3 linked regions of the Notamacropus eugenii genome follow. The protein of the gene in region 1 purifies or fractionates together with the protein of each later gene. This does not show direct contact. Links are inferred from orthologs where the notes say so. Each region holds a gene or a part of one and is shown in the gene's direction. Other genes may lie near its edges. The genes, in order: PTP4A2, CNNM2 and CNNM4.

Region 1 (7,388 bases):
TCAGGTAATAAATCCTCTCTCAACAATGCTGGGAAGTAGGATTAATACCAAATTACAAATTAAAGAAATTGAGAGATTTGCCCTAGGTCATACAGCCAGTTAAAGTGGCAGAGTTGGGACTCAAGCCCAAGTCTTCTGACTCCAGATCTGATTTCCAACACAACATTGCCTCCTGGAACAGATACAGTACTGAATGATTTTGTGGTTGGTCCCCATATATACATTGTTAGAACTGTAAGGGACCCCGTAGAGATCAAGTAGAACAACAACACAATTTACAGATGAGGAAATAGTTATTAAGTGACCTTGTTACATAATAACTAAGCTAGGACTTTAGTCTAGGTGTAGGTTTGCTTTCCTCTCTCTTCTTAAGGATCCCCTTTCCCCCCATTTTTATATACTTATCAAATACTTATTTTTATCTTAAAATTTTGATAAGGTAGTTTATGGCCCATTATCTTAGCCATTACCTTCCAAATCTATACAAACTTTTGTCACTGTCTGACACTGAGTAGCTTCCAACAGGCCTTCTTTAACGGGTTAATTGAGCATCCTTTATAGTATTGTACTGTTGACTGTCCACTTTCCCTCATGAATTTAAGCCCTGGTTAAGCCCATCTGACAGCACACCATCTCAAGTTATTATAAATACTGAAAGGATGGTTGTCAGATACTTTAAAGTAATTCAGACTCTTTAACAATCGAACAGATTTTTAAATTTTACCCTCTCCCTAAATAGATAAAACAAAATTAATGCCAAAAATACAACTTTCTTTTAAAAGTCTTCCTGGAGCGTTTACAGGTGCTAACTATTTGCTGAACCATGGGAGTCTCCAACTTTTGAGTTCTTCCCAGTTGTAGTAGATTGTTCATGCTCTCTTAGAGTCTTGTTGCTTTGAATTATTATGAGTTCCAAAGGTACTTGCCTTAGTTTAAATGAACTGACAGGTTGCAAAAGGTTCACCACTGATGTAGCCAAACACTTCTTTGGGGGTGTGAGGGGATAGCGAAGAGAAGCTTAATTTTATTACCATGGGTCTATGAACACTTATAAAACACTTTCTTTTGGCATGACTTCTTGTGTTGGGGATCTCTATGTTAAGGGAAAAAATGTCACAGTAAATTATCGTTCCTGGAAGTGATCCTTCCAGAAGGGAGTTGGAAAAGAAATATGTGAGAAAGCTCGCTGTTCTCCAAGCAGACAAATGCTAGTATCCAGGTAGAAAACTTAATTCTGGAGTCTTTACTTTTAAAGCTTGGCCATCAGTACAATGCAGTCTTTTCATTGCTTTTTTCTCAATTGACAGACACATTTAACCTTGATGATATCTGTGGTACCAAAGGGCTTCAAAGCAGGTTAGAATTTCCTTGTGTTTTGCTGTGAACTGCTTTGAATAGTTATTCTTATAACATAAAAAGAATGATTGTACATTCACAGAGTAACTGATGAACAATTTTAGCAAATATGTGAAGAAAACAGACTGCAATGAAAGAGATTGTGATGAATTCCTTCTCTGTGGGAGGGGGCTGTTCCCCCCTTCTCCCAGCCTTTCCCTATGATAATTGACACACCTTGTTAACTCACAATTCTGGACTCACTGCCAGGAGACTCTGGGTTCTAGGAGACTGACCCCTGTTCTTCCAAGTACCTTTATGACCTTGCCCTTGTCCCTCCCTCTCAGTTTCTTCACTTGATGAAGGATTGGATCTAGTGATCTCTAAGGTTCTTTCCAAATCTAGGATCCTGTAATTCTGTGGCCAGTATTTTAAAGACAGATCTGGTTGGATGATTTGAGATTGATGTTTTTGGTTTGTGTTAAAATTACAAATACCTGAGAAGAGTATGAGTGGTAGTATGTATGTTTTCACTCTCCTTAAGTTTAAGAACTTTTTGCTTTTGCAGTGTTTGATGCCTTTAATGGATAAGATAGTGGTATGAATGCCATTTGAGATACTGTGTCTTCTAAATTTAAAGAATGTTTTATTTTTGTACTTTTTTCAATGATAACAGAATCCATGCAGTTAAAACAAATTATAAAAGAAGATTGAGTAAAGAATTAGCTTAAGTGTTTGGAGATTAGGGTTTTCCTGGGCATGATGTTGTTACTTTCCTATGAACTTTATTCTTATTTATTAATTGGGCAAAACCCCTTGCTGCTTCTTTCCCTTCCTTTTAGAGAATTTGGATATTAGCGAGAATAAATTAACAAATAAGTTTATAAATGTCTTGAGAGAGGCATCAGGTGATGGAAGGGGACTGGCTTTGGAGTCAGAAAGACATGGGTTTAAGTCCTGCCTCTGACTCATACTAGCTCTGGGATCCAGGTCACTTAACTTTTTGGTGTGCCAGGCAACTTTCTTAAGTTTAGTAGTTAAAAATGGGAGTTTCCACATTGAAAGTTGAAACCATGTCTGGATCCTCCCAGATGGGAAAAGCTGTCACCAGAGGTCGGCTTCAGGGTGATGAATTTTGGGAGCATCGTAATCGTCTTAGGTTATTTGTCCATCTAGCCATCCATAGTTTGGCTTCAGTGTCAGTCGAGGAGCACCTGAATGGATAAAACCAAGGATTCTTAAGGAGTGGGAAGTTCACTGCGGGTTTTCCATTGTGCTTCATCACAGTAGATGTGGCTGTGGGCTCTGTTCTTCCTCTCTGGGTGTGCTGCATTTGGCACAGGTGGGTGCTCTTGCCTTGGAAAGGATGTTTTGAAGGACTGTGAAGTTCACCAGGGGACGGCCAGTCTGGTTAACTTTGGGTCTCATTACCAGGTGGGCTGAAGGGAAGTGAGTTTTTTTTGTTCACAACTATTGAAAACTGGTAGAAGGCTTGTAGATCTGCCCTAGGAGTATGCTGAGCGGGGAGACAGGAAGAAAAACATCATCCCATTAGAGGAGTTTATATTCTAGTTGAGGAAACCAAACAGACCTAAGAGTGCTCAAAGAAAATGAATAGTCTTAACCAACTAAGTGCATATGTCAGACCCCTGGCACAGTTATTCTGACTTAAAATGTTGGAAAACTTTGCCTTTTTTTCTTGTTTTGTTTTTTTTGGGGTTTTTTTGGTGAAAATTTGGGGGGAGGCTAGTGATGGAGGTGTAAAACTTCCTTATGTCAGCTCTATGATTTTATACTCTTGCCTCCGTGAAGTAGGAACAGAAGTTGTTAAAAGGTGAAATGAGAAAAAAAAGAGGTGTGGTCACTCTGGTTGGGAGCCAGTTGTTATTTTGTGGGGAGTAAAAGAGGTTTACAGTCTCAAGGATAAATGTGTGAATCCCTCTCCCCAGTCTTCTAGTTCTTGTAATCTGCTTTAAACAAATAGGAAATATATGAAAACTTGACTTGCAAGGGCCATGAGTAAGGGGAGGGGAGGGGAGGGGAGGGGGTGGTGATTGTATCATGGAAGGAATCCATCTGAAGGTAAAATTACTTTAAATAGTGAATTACACATGTAAAAATTTGATAGTTTCCTCAGCACTTTTTAATGAATAACTTCGTTAAAGCAAAGTATACCTACATATATTTTAGAATTTGTTTTCTGCATATCCAGTTGTGTATATCCAGTGCTCTTCTATAATTCCATGTTTATTATGGTAACTTAGAATGAATAGTAAAGAGTGCATTGTATTTATGCTGTTTTCCACTGTTAGAATGGAAGCTGCAGGTGGGCTTTTGTATTCCCAATGCTTGTTGAATTGAATTTATTTCTTTATAGCATTGTGTGCTATAATGCTGTCAGCTGACTACTTACACACTTCGCCTTTTTCCTTTCCTGTAGGTTCTCTGTTGGAATTCACTCCGCACGTTTATGGCGATTCTGAGCGTGCAGGCAGACTTCTGCCAGGCTCAGCACAGTGCTTTCGCTGACAAGTGAGCTTGAGGCTTCTATGTGCCATAATTAACATTGCCTTGAAGACTCCGGACACCAAGATTGGCCTCAGAAAAATTTGGCATATATCTATATTTTTTTTCATATTGGAAGCATATTCCCTTTAACGACTCCAGCAAAGTTAAGCATCAAGAAAACACAAGTGCAGAGCGGGTCTATACTTTCACCTTGCCTCACCAGTGCCTAAATGTAGGAAAGGTCGCTGAAGTTGCAGGCAGTTGGAATTTTGGAGGTTGAAGGTAACCATCTGCAGTCATTGAGGCCCAAGTTGAATCTGAATTCCAGTGGATTCTAAATAGATCTGCTTATCCTGAAGAAACTCCTTAAGGAAGGAACAAACTGACTAGAGAAGACTGATCAATAATAGGCATTTTTGTGGTCTTTTTAATGTTTTCTGCTGTGAAACGTTTCAAGGGTTATTGATTTTTTCCCCCCATTTTCCCATCTCTCTTCCTCAAACACACACCCACACATACCTACTCTCCCCTGTCTCTCTCTTTCTCTCACACGCATACACACTTTTTGTCTGCCATAATGAACCGTCCAGCCCCTGTGGAGATCTCTTATGAGAACATGCGTTTTCTGATTACCCACAATCCTACCAATGCAACACTCAACAAGTTCACAGAGGTAAGAGTGCGGTGCAGTCCACTTTAGGGATTCATTTTGTAGGTTTAAAAACCCATTATAGTGAATGTCTTTATAAAGAGGTTCTTGTACCACAAAGCTTTTTCCATCCATGAGGGATAGCTGTAAGCCTTGTTTGACCTGTTTACAACATAATCATGGCTTTTAGAGCTGGAAAAGGACTCCCACAAGGATTCCAATCTAACCCAGTATGGCCTTTTCTGGGTCTTGGTCTTAAAACAATCACTGATACTTTTCCATGTCTCCAAGTAGCAATTGCCCTTCCACTCCCAGGTACCCTGACCTGAAGCTCCCTTAAAACCCTGGACCATTCACCTGAAGAACAGCCACCCAAAGATGACTCCAGAACTCAGGGGTAGTATTGGAATGAAGGTATGGGACAGGGTATTAATATTTGCAGAATCTCTTCCTGTTCCTACTGAAATTGGAGTGTTATTTTCATTGGCTAATTTGTTGCCAAATTTCTGTTCTCCTTAATTTCCGTGTCCTGAATACTAAGAATATGATTTTTCTCAGTGTACGATGGTTTGTTGTTTTTTTTTTTTAACACGAATACAACTGGCATATGATTGAGTCCTATAGAGTTCACTATAATGAAATTTTATCTGTATTTTGAAAGTTTTTTAATTGCTGATTCCATAGAGTGGTTTCAAATCTCCTGGATTTATGCTTTAAAAATAGTCCATTAATCATTTTAATAATACTATGATTTATGTAGATGATTTACTTTCCTTACAGGCTATCAGTGTTCTCATTTATTTATATTTGTAATTCTTTAAGCGATTTTATTTGCTGCACATGGTATGCAAGTTGACCAGAGGCCTGTAATGGAGTCATGGCATTTCAGTGACCTAAGACTTTTTAGATCTGGCTCAGTACTATCTCATGTTGTTTCTAGTTGTAGGCCATCCACTTCAGAGATAGCAGAGGAACCTCATCTTTGAGGTTCCCTCATCTCTTGCAGCTGTTAAGTGATGGTGGCAGAGATGCCAGGTGAAAGTAGAACGAAGAACATATAGAGGAGCAGGGAGCCAGGCTGTGATTGTACTTTGCTATCTTCTGCCATACCTCACAGCTTTTCTAAAGTAGAGTTTCAGAAAAGTGCTATTAGAGGGAAGAGCTCTGGATTAGGAGTCAGGTAACCTGGTGTATGGTCTCACCTCTACCCTACTTGATCCATAGCTCTTTGAAGTCAGCATTGTGTCCTTTTTCATCTTTGTATACTTAGCATTGTGCCTTGCACATAATGGACACCTAAGAAATAAATGGTTGTTGCATTAAACTGAACTAATATGAATGATCTTGGGCAAGTAATTTCTTCCTTCTAGGCCTCAGCTCCTTCATCTATAAAGTGAACAGGCTTCATTAGATAATCTATAGCATTCCTTCAGTTCTTTTTTAAACTTTTGTTTAAACCTTAGATAGCAAATATACTTGTATTTGTTTTTCTTTAAAGGAACTTAAGAAGTATGGTGTGACAACTTTGGTCCGAGTTTGTGATGCTACGTATGATAAAGCTCCAGTTGAAAAAGAAGGAATCCAGGTTCTAGTGAGTGTGTAGTATTTATAATTTTCCACTATTAAGTAAATCTAAATACTGATATAGTTATACAGGCCAAGTTTGTACACAGCAAAGCCAAATTAGATTGCTAAAAGTTGAAATTGTTTTTTTGAATTGCTGATTCAATATAGTGCCAAAAAATAATTTTTAGCCATCTCATTTGACTCCTGGATTATTAGTAAATTGGTAAAATTTTAATTCATCTAAAAAGACTAGAATTGCAGGACATTTTTTACCAAATACATGTGAACTAAAAGTCCCTATTTATCTCAAGAAGGTGGAAATTTGCATTTTTCTTTGGATTTTAATAAATGTGATATTCAGCTTTCATTTAAATCTAACTGGAAGTAATTTCCATCAGCTCTTCATAAGTTACATTTGATAATATATTTCTTCTATAAGTACAAAATTATTCCTTTTTAATTTTTTGATAGTTTGGGAGACAAGAGGGAGAATCAGAAGGATCAGAAGGCAGCTTTACCTTAGAAAGTAATCAGCATAGATGATGACACTGTGTTAGGTCTGAGAAGTTGTGTCATGATTAGATTTCTTAGATAACTAAATCTGACAATAAAGCATTGGCTATTACTGAACTAAAAACCAACTTCCCTTTCACTTACCTAAATACTAATGAAAGTAGTAATACATCACCTTTACTTTATAGAGTACTTAGAGTATTTGTCAGGTGCATACATGGAAAGTGGTACGGTACTGAGAGAGTTTTGACAATATGTGGTCGCCCCTCATGAAAATTGTCACGTGACAATATCATGTAGTCTTTTTATCCTCCAGTAGAAATTAAGTTTGTATAACAGTGGTAAAGTTGATCCCTTTTATGAGCTTTCATATGTTTGATGTTGTTAAATTTAATTCAGCATTCCAGTGATTTCATTAATCTGGTTACTAAAGGTACCTGTAATCTCTTTGTATTCTTTAGTATGTGATCTTTTTAAAATTTATTTAAAAATTTTAAAGTGCTGATTCAATATAGTGCCAAAAATAATTTTTTAGCAGTCTCATTTGACTCCTGGATTATTAGGTAAATTGCTAAAATTTTGAATTTCTGTGACAAAGGGCATTTCCATATACGTAGCAGAATATAAAAAGTATTGTCATAGAAAAGTGAAAAATCTATTTTGTATGGTTACTTTTTTAAAAAAGTATTTTATAAATTCTACTTTACTTTCAAAACTGCCTGTTTAGGCTTCTTGCTATTTGGCTTTTTTTTGGGGGGGGGGGTTGGGGGAGGCATCACTATTGCTCTCTTTCTTGCTTAAATATCCCTCTGGTTAA
Region 2 (7,357 bases), on another chromosome or scaffold:
CTTCAGACGACTTTGGTAAGTGTAAAAATCCTCTTTTCCTTCTAAGAAAGCCCATTTACATTTCAGAGGCACCGTAATTCTTTGTTTTTCAGCTAACAAAAGGTCAGTGTGACCCTTCTGATATATATATATATATGTATATATATATATATATATATATATATACACATATATGTATGTATGTATATATGTGTATATATATATATATATATATATATATATACACATATATGTATGTATGTATATATGTATATGTATACTGCTAGGGAATCCCACATTCCTAGTTATACCACTAATAACAACTGATGTTTTACAGATCTTATGGATTGCCAAGCACTTTAGTATATTATCTCATTTGAACTTCACAACAACCATGTGAGGTAGGTGTTATTCACCTTTTATAGATAGATGGTTGGGGAGTGTGTATTCATTCTTCGTTGCCGAAGAAGACCATGCCATCAGAGAAATAATGACATGACTTTGCACCTGACTTTGTTTTGAGTGAGTGAGGGCTGTGTAGGTCACCAGCTTCACTTCTCCTCCAGAGCCATATGAATCCAGTGACCAGATATTCATCAGGATGACAAGAGATGACCCAGGATGAGGCAACTGGGGCCAAGTGACTTGCTCAAGGTCATACAGCTAGTAAGTGTCAAGTGTCTGAGGTGAGATTTGAACTCAGGTCCTCCTGACTCCTGCACTAGTGCTCTATCCACTGAACCACCTAGCTGCCCATTTTACAGATAAGGATAAGGCTGAAAGAATTGTAATGACTCGCTCCAAAGGACTGGCAAGTGTCTGGGGTTGGATTTTTTTGTACCCCCAGGTCTTGCTTAAGTTCAGTGCTTGATCTACTCTTATTGGTCCCCCCCAACCCACCTTCGGCCCCACTACCATTGACCCCAATACTGTACTGCCAGTTTAGTTTTGAAAAGTGCAAGAAATCTATTTGGCACTTCTGTCCCACACCTGACTTGTTTTGGAAGGGGTATACTTAACATTTACAAGTCTTCAAATCCTCTTCTCTTATAGGTATCTTGCACCAATTCTGGCTTTGCAGCTATGAAGGGGCAGCTAGGTGGCGCAGTGGATATATCAAGTGCTGTTCCTGGAGTCAGAAGAATTTGAGTTAAAATTTACCCTCAGACACTTACTAGTTGTGTGATCCTGGGCAAGTCACTTAACCCTGTCTGTCTCAGTTCCTTCACCTGTAGAATGAACTGGAGAAGGAAATGGCAAACTACTCCATTATCTTTGCCAGAAAACCTCAAATGGGGTCACCAAGAATTGAACAAAACTGAAATGACTGAACAAAACAAGGTATGAAGGGAGATTTGGGGACCTTGGGGTTTCCTCAGGGGAAATCTCTCTTGTACCCAGCTTCTTATATTCTTATGTTCTCTTACACTAAAAATCTCCTCTTCTGCCTCACTGGAGCCTTGGAAGCTGTGCCAATGGAGCACAATCTCTTGTAGTTACTACCAAACTGAAAAGATTTTAAGAATGGGCTTGGTACAACCAGGCTAGAAAAGGGTAAAGATCATCACCAGAAGCTAATCGAGAGCTTCTATGATGGATTTTTAATAATAGTGGTTCTCCACAGTCATCTACTGTTTACTCCTTAGTAGCGGGGTAGGCAGTCAACAAGCATTTATTAAGCATCCACTAGGTGCCTGGCACTGTTGTTGGAAGGACTGACCAGTGAAATTCTGAGATCTTTATGTTATCAAAGTATTTGATCTAAGTCAGGAATTTTTAACCTTTTTAAAAAACTGTTGTAGACCCCTCTGGCAGTCTGGTGAAGCCTATGTGGCACTTCTTAGAACATTATTTTTAAATGCATATCATAAGATACATAACAATGCAAAGGAAGCAAATTATATTGAAATATTATCAAAATGTCTTTTTAAAAACACGTTCATAGACCCTCAGGTTGAGAACTCCTAAGCTGTTTGTGGGTAACTAATTGGTAAAGTGCTTGGAGTCAGGAAGACTAATCTCTCTGAGTTCAGATCTGGCCTCAGACTCTGTGTGACCCTAGACAAGTCACTTAACTGTTTGCCTCAGTTTCCTCATCTGTAAAATGACCTGGAGAAGGAAATGGCAAACCACTTCAGTATCTCTGCCAAGAAAACCCCAAAAGGGGTCATGAAGAGTCAGACATGGCCGAAACTCAACAATAACATGCTATTTCTAAAGCTGCATTAGTCCAAAATTCCTATGCCCTCATTTCTGGTAATTTTTATTTAATTACTTACCTTCGACCATTGACAAGTATCCCTAAAACTCCTTAGTTTTGTTTTTAAATGACATATCTTAGTTTTACTCTTTCAGAGAAAGACAACATTCTGTGTCATGTCTGCCAATCAAATTTTCTCCTTTTAACCTTTGATTTCAAATTCAAGTTTTAAGCATGAAGATGTGTGTAGGTCTGTGTGTGTGTGTGTGTGTGTGTAGGTTTGTGTGTGTGTGTGCGTGTGTGTGTGTTTTGGGGGGAGGGAACCAGGTTAGAATGAGGAAAAATTAATGGAACCAACTACTGTGATATCTTTGGAGCCCTTAAATAAAACTGACCCCGCTCCAAAAAACTTAGCAAAACATATTTGATTTGTGTGCAACATGATCCATCCATCCAAAGGTACAAAATGCACTTGTTTGTTTGTTTTTTAAAAGCTCAAAAAAAGTGCCTTCTTTTAATTTGACAGCCATTCATTGAACACTTATGTGGCAGGCAGGCATTGTACTATACACTAGACATTGCAATAAAATGCAAGTATTACCTCCTTTTACAGATGAGGAAACTGAGAGTCGGTTAACCACTTTCCCAAGGTCATACATAAAGTGGCAGAGGTCAAACCTCCACCTTTCCAGTTCACGGGGCTTCAGCCTGAATCCACACTTCTCAGGTGTGGAGTCCCGAGCTCCTCTGGTGAACATTTAAACCTTCAGTGGTCTGGATCTAGCCTAAATTTTCAAGCTTGTTATCCACCTTCCTCTCCTCACATTGTAAGCCCCAGGCATATACTACCCATCTCCCACCTCTGGGTCTTAGCACTGGCTGTGGTCCTCCATACCTGGAACACTCTCCCCCTTCATTTCCATCCTTAAGATTCCTAGCTTCCTTCAAAGTTTAAAGTATTACTTGATACTTCTAACACTTTAATTAATCTAATAAACCCATTTATTAAGATTATAACTTGTTGATGAATTAAAATTAAAGTGATTTTAATACTGTTAAATTAATACTTGATACTAAAAGACCTCCTCCACGGGAACCTCTCCACCTTCGCTCTCCACCTCCCCCGACTTTATACCTTGTACATGTTTTATTCACTCATACACAAGGTAGAGAGGAGCATTTGCAGCTGGCACAGAAAACATCTGCAGGACAGCTTCGCTGACGGCAGGCGGTGCTGCGGTTCTACCAGCCGCCCGAGGGCGCCTTCTCATGCCAACCTGCTTCTCCCACCGGCGGGCACTCGAAAACACGTGGCTTTGGACGGAGCTGGCCGGTCAGCTGTAGACGATGCTCCTCTGCCCCTTTGCAGTACGCCGCCGTTCACGCCAAGGCAGTGGGATGCCCTGGCACGACCCTGATGCCCTGGGGCAATAAAACGACGTTTAGCTTCACGCACGCTTCCATCGTCCCTTCTCCAAACTGGCTTCTCTAACCCTGCAGAGGCCCCCTGCCAGAGGTGCCACAGCGGGCTCAAGCCCACGCTGCGCCTGCATGAAGTAACGCGGGACAAGCGATGAAAGGACCGGCGGCCAAGGCAGGTACTTGCTCGAGCGAAGAGCAAAATAGCCCCGAGTCTGACACTGCACCTGCAGAACGTGCACGAGCCTCCGTCTACTATCAAGTTCCCAAAGGAGAGCGCCTGGCTGGAGGCTTGCTGAAATTTCATTGGCTAGGCACTGGGCAGCCCCACCTTTTTCCGTCGACCTCGGATCTCTGATTGGTTCATGGGTTCCCACTGGCCACACCTCCTCCCTTCACACATACACAAGAGTCACGCGCCTTGCAGTTGGAAACTTGGCGTGGTGAGGAGGCCGGGGGGGAAAAAAAGTCGCCCCACCCCCTTACCTTGCTATTGGCCCATGGGGCAGCCGGTGGCCACGCCTTCATTCCAGCCCCCTAACTGAGAGGGCGGGTGCTCGCTCCTGAGTGGTCGGCCTAGCTGCCCTTCAAGTTGGAGCCCGACCGCTCCCGCCTCCTCCCCCTCCCCACTCAGGCTAGAGGTCCAGTATTTGGCCCGGGCAGTGTCAGTGTCAGCGAGCGAAGGGGGCAGTGAGGCGCCGGGGGCGGACTCCCGGTGGCACCCCAGCTGAGGTGCCCGTGCCTGCGCCTCGGGCAGCCGGAGAGAAGGATGAAGCCGCAGCCGGAGCAGCCCCCTTATGATTGGCTGTGGCGGTTGTAAGCCCGAAGTAAAGATGGCGGGCGGGCCGGTGGTCGCCGCACTGCCCACTTGGAAGATGGCGGCGCGCCGCAGCCCCAGTGCCCACGGCCGGGAGGTCCTGCGGGTGGTGGCGGGGCTGCTGCTGCTGCTGAGCTGCTGCTGCGGCGGGGGCAGCTGCGCGGGGGCCGGCGAGGCGGAAGAGACGGTGATCATCGGGTTGAGGCTGGAAGACACGAACGACGTGTCGTTCATGGAAGGGGGGGCGCTGCGGGTGAGCGAGCGCACCCGGGTCAAGTTGCGGGTCTACGGGCAGAACATCAACAACGAGACCTGGTCTCGCATCGCCTTCACCGAGCACGAGCGGAGGCGGCAGGGTCACGGGGAGAGGGGGGCCGGGGGCCCCCTGCAGCCGGAGCCGGAGAGCGGCCCCCAGCGCTGCGGCATCCGCACCTCGGACATCATCATCCTGCCCCACATCGTCCTCAACCGCCGCACGTCGGGCATCATCGAGATCGAGATCAAGCCTCTGCGCAAGACGGAGAAGAGCAAGTCCTACTACCTGTGCACGTCGCTCTCCACCCCGCCCGTGGCGGCCGGCGGCCCCGGCTCGGCGGGCAGCCCCGTGGGGGGCAAAGGCGGCCGCGGCGTGGCGGGGCTCCCTCCGCCCCCGTGGGCAGAGACCACCTGGATCTACCACGATGGCGAGGACACGAAGATGATCGTGGGCGAGGAGAAGAAGTTTCTGTTACCTTTCTGGCTGCAGGTGATCTTCATCTCGCTGCTGCTCTGCCTCTCGGGGATGTTCAGCGGCCTCAACCTGGGGCTGATGGCGCTGGACCCCATGGAGCTGCGCATCGTGCAGAACTGCGGCACGGAGAAGGAGAAGAATTACGCCAAGCGCATCGAGCCCGTGCGCAGGCAGGGCAACTACCTGCTGTGCTCCCTGCTGCTGGGCAACGTGCTGGTCAACACCACCCTCACCATCCTGCTGGACGACATCGCGGGCTCCGGCCTGGTGGCCGTGGTGGTGTCCACCATCGGCATCGTCATCTTCGGGGAGATAGTGCCCCAGGCCATCTGTTCCCGGCACGGCCTGGCGGTGGGCGCCAACACCATCTTCCTCACCAAGTTCTTCATGATGATGACCTTTCCCGCCTCCTACCCGGTCAGCAAGCTGCTGGACTGCGTCCTGGGCCAGGAGATCGGCACGGTCTACAACCGCGAGAAGCTGCTGGAGATGCTTCGCGTCACCGACCCCTACAACGACCTCGTCAAGGAGGAGCTCAACATCATCCAAGGGGCGCTGGAGCTCCGCACCAAGACTGTGGAGGACGTGATGACTCCGCTGCGGGACTGCTTCATGATCACGGGAGAGGCGATCCTGGATTTCAACACCATGTCCGAGATCATGGAGAGCGGCTACACTCGAATCCCGGTCTTCGAAGGGGAGCGCTCCAACATCGTGGACCTCCTCTTTGTCAAGGACTTGGCGTTCGTGGACCCCGATGACTCCACTCCCTTGAAAACCATCACCAAGTTTTACAATCACCCTCTGCACTTTGTTTTCAATGACACTAAGCTGGACGCCATGCTGGAAGAGTTTAAGAAAGGTGGGCGAATTGATTACCTCCTTTTGGTTTACTTCTCCTTCCCTGCCCCTCCCCTCCTTCCCCTTCCTTTCTCTTCCCCTGCTCCCCCAAGGTGGTCAGTTGGACTGGAACTCTCCCTCCCTCCTTTCCGTCTTACTGCATAGCCGGGAGGGAGGAGGGAGGGGTGTGTAGATGTGTAAGGACTGGTCCAGGATTCCGAGCTGGGCTTTCAAAATGCACGGGGTCTTAAATCCGTTATTTCACCTTTTAAGGGCAGTCTCCAAGGAACGAATGCTGGGAGTTTGGGATGCGGATGATTATAAGTGCTTTTGCTGCCTTGCTTTGGTTCTGAATGGGGAGGCAGGATTGAGGCGATTTAGGCATGCTGAAGATGTTGACTTGACTTGTGGTTGCAGATTCTCTTGCCTAGTATTTTTAAATAGCTCTTGGGGACTAAGCCCAGCCATTTCCCAAACCCTCGACTTTCCAGGGTTTGGAAAATGCCATTTCTTGTGCTTCATTTCATGGTTGCGTTGAGCCCTTAGGGCAGAACAGGCAGGCTACACGGTACTTGGTTTTTCCTTCTCTGCTCTACCCATGGGGGAAGGGAGAGAGGGAGGTGATCCGAGTACCACAGAAAAATTGAGCCGCCTGGATGTGACCTGCTTCAGTGAGAGAAGAGCTTTTTAGAACCAGGTTAGTTATTAGCTTGTAATTTGGGAAGACCGAAGTTAACCTTTCACTAAGGTTATATCTTTGCTTAACTTTCTTGTCAATTTGTTTTCACGTTTACAGGAAACAACCAATAGAATTTCCAAAGGCAAATATGAGTCCTGCACAAAGCTTGACCCTTAACCTGCTGCATCCCTTTATTAATAGTTGTTCGTTTAGATCTTAGTAATTCTGACCTAATAAATTTTCTTTTTAACCTTGACTGCCCGGTACATTCAGGGGAAGTATGTTAGCAATGCTGGGATCCAAGGTTGTTTGTAGGAAAAAGTAGCCTATATGCTCATGGTATCTTATGTCTTTTTATCATGCAAGGACTTGGTAGCCAGAATCTTTTCTTGTAAAGATAGTAGTACTGGGTTTAAAATAAAAATCAGTTAGTTTATCTTGTAGTGTTATCTTGAAAACAAAGATGCTTGGTTTCTTATGAAAATAGTCTGAGGGCATATATGTTAGCTTTTAATAACTGGCTCCTAACAACACTTTTATTTATTCCTGGAAATACATTTTCTATTTCTGACAGTGTCCCAGCCAAAAAAGTTCACTTTAACGGGTGGCTTCCTAGTTGTGAGAATCAGAAATATTGACCCACCCAGTATATTACTTAATTCCATTTTCCAGGTTGAATTAATACTAGCAACA
Region 3 (7,031 bases), on another chromosome or scaffold:
CCAAGCAGGGTCTGCTCTGTGAGCATTCCTCAAGTCAGATATCATCTTCTTGCTCAACAGAATGAGAGAGAACTGGGGCAAGTGTCGTCAAACAGACTGGCTCAGGTCAGGCCCTGCCACAAGCACTACTGTCATCCTGTTTTCTGGGCCATCCAATAATGCCCTACCAGATGCAGAGGTGGTCATGAAACCCAGGAGGCCCACCTGCCAGTCCATTCATTGTTCTTCCTGTCTCTTCCTCCTCCCTAATCTTAATGCCTAATTGGATAAGCAAAAGAAATAGAAGTGTCAGCATTTTGGGGGTGGAGTGAGGGAGATAGAATAGATTTTGTGCCTATAGAGTCTGGAAAATATCTCTGATATGGGGGCCCTTAAGACAAAAAGTCAGAGTTCCTCCCTAAAATCTGTGCTTCTACGTGTTTTGGAGCTCCCTTGGACTGATTTTGTCTGGGCAGATCCACTTTGAATTCATACTTCAAGTGTCTAGTACTCAATAAATGATTATTCAATGACTGAGTGCAAAGGTTTAGTCTGGACAGTTCAGGGAAGTGACTTTTTTGATCTAAACTCCCATTTCTCATTCTTCATCTGGTCTGCCCACCTGCAGACCTGCAATCTGTCATAGTCTTCAACTGCCCCACAGAATTTGGGGAGAGGAAGGAGAGAGAGGGAGAGAGAGAGGGAGAGGGAGGGAGAGACAAAGGGATAGAGAGAGAGAGAGAGAGAGAGAGAGAGAGAGAGAGAGAGAGAGAGAGAGAGAGAGAGAGAGAGAATGAGGGAGGGAGAGAGAGAGGAGAGAGAGAGAAATTAATTAGGGTGCTGGTAATGGCAGTCCACACTCCTTTCCTCAAAGCACTAGGAATAGTATGAATAGCTTCTATTGATGAAACACTTTGCAAATTACAAAGTACTTTATACCCAAGTAATCCAGGAATGAAATCCCCATTGCACAGATAGAATGTGAGCTGACTGACTCCTTAAGGGCAGGGAGCCTTTCTTTGTAATCCCAGCTTTAGCATTGTGCTTGGTAAATGCTTAATAAATACTTGCTGACTGAGTTCACATGGAGGTTTTGCCACTTAGCACTTTGTACCTATATGACCTCAAGCAAATCCCTTAAACTCTCTACACCTCAGTTTCCTCACCCTGTAGAATGGGAGTGGTCAGTGATTTGGAGAAGATGGCCTGTGAGGCCTCTTCTAGCTCTAGATCTGATTCCATGATCCTAATAGTAACACATGAATGAGGGAAGCTTGTCCTGATCCTGGATTAGCCCAGTGAAATGGACTAGGTTTTCCTAATTCTGACACTATCTAACCAAGGTGGCCCACTCCAATTTTGCTACTGCAAAGAGTCACTGGTCTCACTGATGTGGTTAATCCCTCTACAGAAACAGGTGACCAACCCATCCATGCTTCTTGATTCAATGGGACTTGTCCAAATTCTGCTATAAGCTTAACAGAGTGGGACCTTCCTGGAGTTTTCATGACATGGGGAGGAAAAAGTGGGAAAGGAAATCCTTTTACCAGTTATTCCTTAAGTGTAATTTTGATGGACATAAATCACATTAAAAGTGAACTATTAACCTGGAAAGAAAAGGGGGTAAGCTGTAATTGTGTGGAAATTTGACCAGTCCTAGAGAGGAGCTGTAAGGGAACCTTGATAAATGGGATACTTGAGGTAATTTTAGTCTCCCTGACTTGTGGCCCTTTTCTAGAGGGATTTGTTTATATTAATATTGCAAGCATACATTATGTTGGAAAGGAAAACAGAAAATACATTGGAATTTTGGGCAGGCTGAGAAAAAAGAGCCTAATCTCTAGGAGGGTAGTGACCAGGCATTATCAAATTTTTTATCTACCCCAGCTCCTAACTCAGTTCTCTATTCACAGCAGATGCTTAATAGATATTTGTTGAATGTAATGAAAAGAATGAGGAAACGCGAAAGAAAACATTGCAATGTTATGGGAAAAGTGCTGGACTGAATGTCAGGAGGCCTGAACTTTAATCTGTCTTTTCTCCTTTCTCTTAGTTGTAAAAGAAGGATTTTATAGGTCCTCTAGTCCACTCCTCCGTCCTCCTAGAGAGGTAGAGTGAATTGTCCAAAGTCACCCAGGAGATTAATAGCTGCTCTAGATGTTCAGCATTTTTCCCCCTCCAATATGACTGCTTTGTGTTTGGGCATGTGCAGGCATCCATAAGAAGCAGGAAAATCCTTAGAGTCATCAATTGCCCCATTTTACAGATGAGGGAACTGAAGCCTAGCAAGAAGTAGTATAGCATCATAGAGGTGTCCCTTCTAGGATCCACATGAGGTGATGTAGACTCAGATGACCTGGTTTCAAATCCTGCTGCTCCTCTGGTTTACTTGTATAATCCTGGGCCTCAGTTTCCTTATCTGTCAGCCAACTAGCACTTATTAAGCACCTGCTATGTGCCAGGTACTATGCACCAGGGACTTAAAAACAAATAAAAAAAAGTCCCTGATTTAAGGTTCTCATAATCTAATAGGGGAGACAACATGTAAATGTTGCTGTTCAGTCATTTTTAGTCACATGACTCTTTGTGACCCCACTTGGAGTTTTCTTGACAAAAATACGGAAGTGGTTTACCATTTCCTTCACCAGCTTGTTTGATAGATAAGGAAACTGAGGCAAACAGGGTTAAGTGGACTTGCTCAGGGCCACCCAGCTAGTAAGTGTCTGAGTTGAGATTTGAACTCCTGAACATACAAATAGCTATCTACAAATAAGGCACGGGCAGAGTACATTGGAGATAATGAACGAGGAAGGCACTAGATAAAGGGGACGGAAGAGGCATACCGTAGAAGGTGAGATTTTAGCTGGGACTTGAAGGAGGCCAGGGGAGCCAGGAGACAGATGGAGGAGGGAGAGAAATCCATCACCCGTGAAAATGTCTGAGGACGTGAGAGTGTCTAGTTCAGAAACAATAAGGTTTATGACGCTGGACTGAGGGGAGTGTGTGTGTGTGTGTGTGTGTGTGTGTGTGTGTGTGTGTGTGTGTGCGTGCGTGTGTGTGTGTGTCTGTGTGTGTGTGTGTGTGTGTGTCTGTGTGTGTGTGTGTGTGTGTGTCTGTGTGTGTGTGTGTGTGTGTGTGTGTGTGTGTGTGTGTGCAGATTATGAGACTTTGAACACCAAACATAGGATTTTATATTTGATCATGGAGATAACGGAGCCACTGGAGCTGTTTTGTTTGCTTTGGGGGTGGGGGGAGGTTGTGCGTGACCCGGTCAGACCTGTGTTTTAGGAAGTCAGTTTAAAAGCCATGTGGGGGATGGGTGGGCAGGGGGAGATACCGAAGGCAGCAGGCTCTCGGAATGGCCCTAGCTTGAACCTGGTGACTTCTAAGGCCTCTCCCACTTCTAGAGTTGTATGAATTTGGGATAGTTCTAAGGAGCAAAATCAAGACGTGGAGAGCGAGACGCCAACCTGTCCTAGGTTCAAATCCTAATCTTGTGACTTACACCCTGGGTGACCTTGGGCACTTCCCTCCGGGCCTCCCTCCCTTTCCTTATGTGTACAGCGAGGAGGCTGGACTAGATGACCTTTAATGTTCCTTTTCACCACTCCCTTCAAAAATCGTACGATCCCTGCCCAGCCTAGGTCCACCTTAAAAACCCAGACCCCCTTAAACCAGGGCAATAGGTGCCGGCATCCCCGAAGGGAGGGAAGAGAAGTAGGAAGGAGGAAGGGGGTTTAAAGTAGGCGGTGACATGCAAATGAAGTAGGCGTGGCTCCCGGCGGAGGGGGCGTGGGACCGGGTGTGTGTCTGTGGCCCTGAGGGGGCGGGCCGCCGGTGTGACGTCAGGCCCGCGGCCCGGGCAGTTGGCTCGGCGGCAGCGAAGCAGCAGGAGCGGCGGCGCTGAGCGGGGCCGCGCGGCGGGGGGCTGGGGGCCCTGGGGCGCGGCGGCGGCGGCAGCAGCAATATGGCGCCGGGCAGCGGGGGCGGGGGCCTGGGCCCGGGCCCGGCGGGAGGACGGGCCCGAGGGCGCCTCCTCCTGGCGGCGCTGGGACTGCTGCTCTGGGTCCGGGGTACCCGGGGCCAGGACGAGCCCAAAATCTTGGGCATGAGGCTGATAGGCTGCAACAAGACGTGCGGGACCAACCCGGAGGGCATCCTCTTCGTCTCCGAGGGCAGCCAGGTGAGGCTGAGGCTGTATGGCCTCAACCTGGACACCTTAAACCATGGCCACATCACCTTCACGGAGCTGGAGACGATGCAGGATGTCCACCAATCCAACTTCTGCATGGGGGTCACCAAGGACCTGATGGTCCACCAGCTGGTCAACCTGAGCAGGGACAACTCGAACGCGCTGCTGATCCTGGAAACCAAGTTCCTAAGGAGGAGTGAGAATGCGAGGCTTTACGGCCTGTGCACCTGGAGTGGGGGGAAGTGGCTGAGGTGGCCCGGCAAGGACTCCCTGGTCTTCCTCATGGAGGATAAGCGTAAGTTCCTGCCCCTCTGGCTGCACATTGTACTGGTCGTGGTGCTGCTGGTGCTCTCCGGCATCTTCTCCGGCCTCAATCTAGGTCTCATGGCCTTGGATCCTATGGAACTAAGGATCATACAGAATTGTGGCAAGGAGAAAGAGAGAAGGTATGCCCGAAAGATTGAGCCCATTCGAAGGAAGGGGAACTACCTTCTCTGTTCCCTGCTTCTGGGCAACGTGCTGGTCAACACTTCACTCACAATCCTTCTGGACAACCTACTGGGATCTGGAGTGGTAGCTGTGGCCTCCTCCACTATTGGCATTGTCATCTTTGGAGAGATTGTACCCCAGGCATTATGTTCCCGGCATGGCCTGGCTGTGGGGGCCAGCACAATCAATGTCACGAAATTGTTTATGCTAATTACCTTCCCCTTAAGTTTTCCCATCAGCAAGGTTTTGGATTATGTTCTTGGTCAGGAGATTGGTACAGTCTACAACAGGGAAAAGCTGATGGAGATGCTGAAGGTGACTGAACCATACAATGATCTGGTGAAGGAAGAGCTCAACATGATCCAAGGTGCCCTGGAACTGAGGACCAAAACGGTGGAGGATATCATGACCCAGCTCCATGACTGTTTCATGATCAGAAGTGATGCTATCCTGGACTTTAACACTATGTCAGAGATCATGGAAAGTGGGTACACTCGCATTCCAGTGTTTGAGGACGAACAGTCCAATATTGTAGATATCCTCTATGTCAAGGATCTGGCCTTTGTGGACCCAGACGACTGCACTCCTCTGAAAACCATCACCCGCTTCTACAACCATCCAGTTCACTTTGTCTTTCATGACACCAAACTGGATGCCATGCTAGAGGAGTTCAAGAAGGGTAAGACCTAGTGGACTATTAAGTCTTTTTGTGAAATCTTGTTATGCCTGCTGTGACAGATTCTGTTTGTATGTAGCCTGTGCTCTCTTCTCCATCACCTCCTGTTACTCTGAGAGACTGCCTCTGGGATGAACTAAAGCATTTAGGAGAATCTATCCCTTGTTTCATTACTTCAGGTGGTGGAATGGGGAGAGTTCCAAATAACATTTTGAGGGCTTTAAAAATTCAGTGGAATGCAGGCAGATTATTCAGTGTTTGGAATAGGAGTGTCATAGCTTCCTAAGCCCAAGACATCAGCCTCTCTTCATTGGTCTTTTAGGCATATTTAATGGGCCTTCTCTTGCTCTGTACTTTTCCGACTCATCAGTTCTTGGCTACCTCTCAAGAGGCTGACTGTAAAGGCAATAGGAGAGTTTTACTCACCAGTCCCAAACCTAATGCACACACATCCCCTTCCTTCCATCAAAGCTTTTATCCAGGCTCAAGCTACACTGTCAAGAAGTCATTTATGAACTAGAACATATCTTAGGGTTTCAGCAGCAAGGAAACTGAAAGGGAATAAAACGGGCATTTTTGGAGGAGATGAAAACAAAATTTTCACCTGAACCAGGCAGGCTTTTTCTGAGGTTTCCATTTGCAAATCACAATTGTCTCTGGTTCCAAGTCCCCTTTCTGGTAGGTAGGGACACCTCCTTTTGGACTCATTTCCTTTCCAGTCAAGGGAGCCATAGATAGATTGAATTGCACCCATTATCCTTGGAATGACTTCTGAACCTTAGTTTGGGACTGGAAGGGAGGTAGGACCCAGTAAGTTATTTCTGGAACATGGAGCAGAGTCAAGTTGGGGAACTGACTGGATTGCTGGTGTCGGGCTAGAACGGGGAGCAGCAGGAGCTGGGGTGATGGGTAGTACTCAGAATTATTTGGTTCTGTTGCTGAAGTGTGACCACCCCACCCCTACCCCCTTTGTGATTTCTTATCTGGTTATTCCCTTACCCCACCCCACCCCCCAGTCACCCTACCAGCTTTCATTAAGTGATTACTGTTTACCAACCCTCCATAATGCCTCAGGATTCAAAGATAGGACTAAACAGTCCCTTGCTTTAAAGAGTTTACATTCTAAAGGAGACCACATGTAAATAGTAATGTCCATAGGCTCCCCTTTTCCTAGCATTAAACGTGCTTTTTGGTCTTGGGGGACAGCCAAGAAAAAGGCATGGAGTGGGGAGGGAGATGGAATGTTTTGATTTTTTTTCCAGGAACAGCAAGGAGACCAGTAACACTGGATCTTAGAGTATGTGGAGGAGATGGAAGTGTAAGAAGACTAGAAAGGTAGGAAAGGGGCCAGGTTACAGAGAGCTTTAAAAGGCAGGATGCATCTTAGGTGGGACTTGGACCCAGCTAACTAGGTCTTCCTGACTCCAAGGATGCTCTTTTATATAGTTAGGCAGATTAAATCCACATTTTGGGATAGAGGTTTGGATTTGGAGTCAGAGGGCCTGAGTTAAAATTTTGATTCTGCCACTAATTATGATTTAACAATCCACTCCATTTTCATGAACTTCTATAAAATGAGAGGGTTGGACTAGGTGAGGGGTGGGCAAGCTTTTTTGTATGGCCTGTGAACCATTTTTACATTTTGAAATAAAGTTTCAAATAAAGTTATTGCATTTTAAAATGTAAAAACTATTC

What was found.
Region 2: the proteins of PTP4A2 (region 1) and CNNM2 purify together in Homo sapiens (affinity purification with mass spectrometry; 4 studies listed by BioGRID and IntAct, counting the BioPlex papers as one, with this or other methods). This does not show direct contact. The link is inferred for Notamacropus eugenii from reciprocal best matches to the Homo sapiens genes PTP4A2 and CNNM2.
Region 3: the proteins of PTP4A2 (region 1) and CNNM4 purify together in Homo sapiens (affinity purification with mass spectrometry; 6 studies listed by BioGRID and IntAct, counting the BioPlex papers as one, with this or other methods). This does not show direct contact. The link is inferred for Notamacropus eugenii from reciprocal best matches to the Homo sapiens genes PTP4A2 and CNNM4.

Annotation. Positions count from the first base shown.
Region 1 is NC_092876.1:77,910,185-77,917,572, forward strand, and holds the start of PTP4A2 (protein tyrosine phosphatase type IVA 2), read left to right. Parts: upstream 1-4,384; 5' UTR 4,385-4,420; coding exon 4,421-4,516; intron 4,517-5,990; coding exon 5,991-6,083; intron 6,084-7,388. Other genes in the region: uncharacterized protein, read left to right, coding at 3,776-3,864.
Region 2 is NC_092872.1:181,110,597-181,117,953, forward strand, and holds the start of CNNM2 (metal transporter CNNM2), read left to right. Parts: upstream 1-4,250; 5' UTR 4,251-4,395; coding exon 4,396-6,007; intron 6,008-7,357.
Region 3 is NC_092872.1:523,577,750-523,584,780, reverse strand, and holds the start of CNNM4 (metal transporter CNNM4), read left to right. Parts: upstream 1-3,931; 5' UTR 3,932-3,946; coding exon 3,947-5,339; intron 5,340-7,031. UniProt on the Homo sapiens protein: Probable metal transporter. The interaction with the metal ion chaperone COX11 suggests that it may play a role in sensory neuron functions. May play a role in biomineralization and retinal function.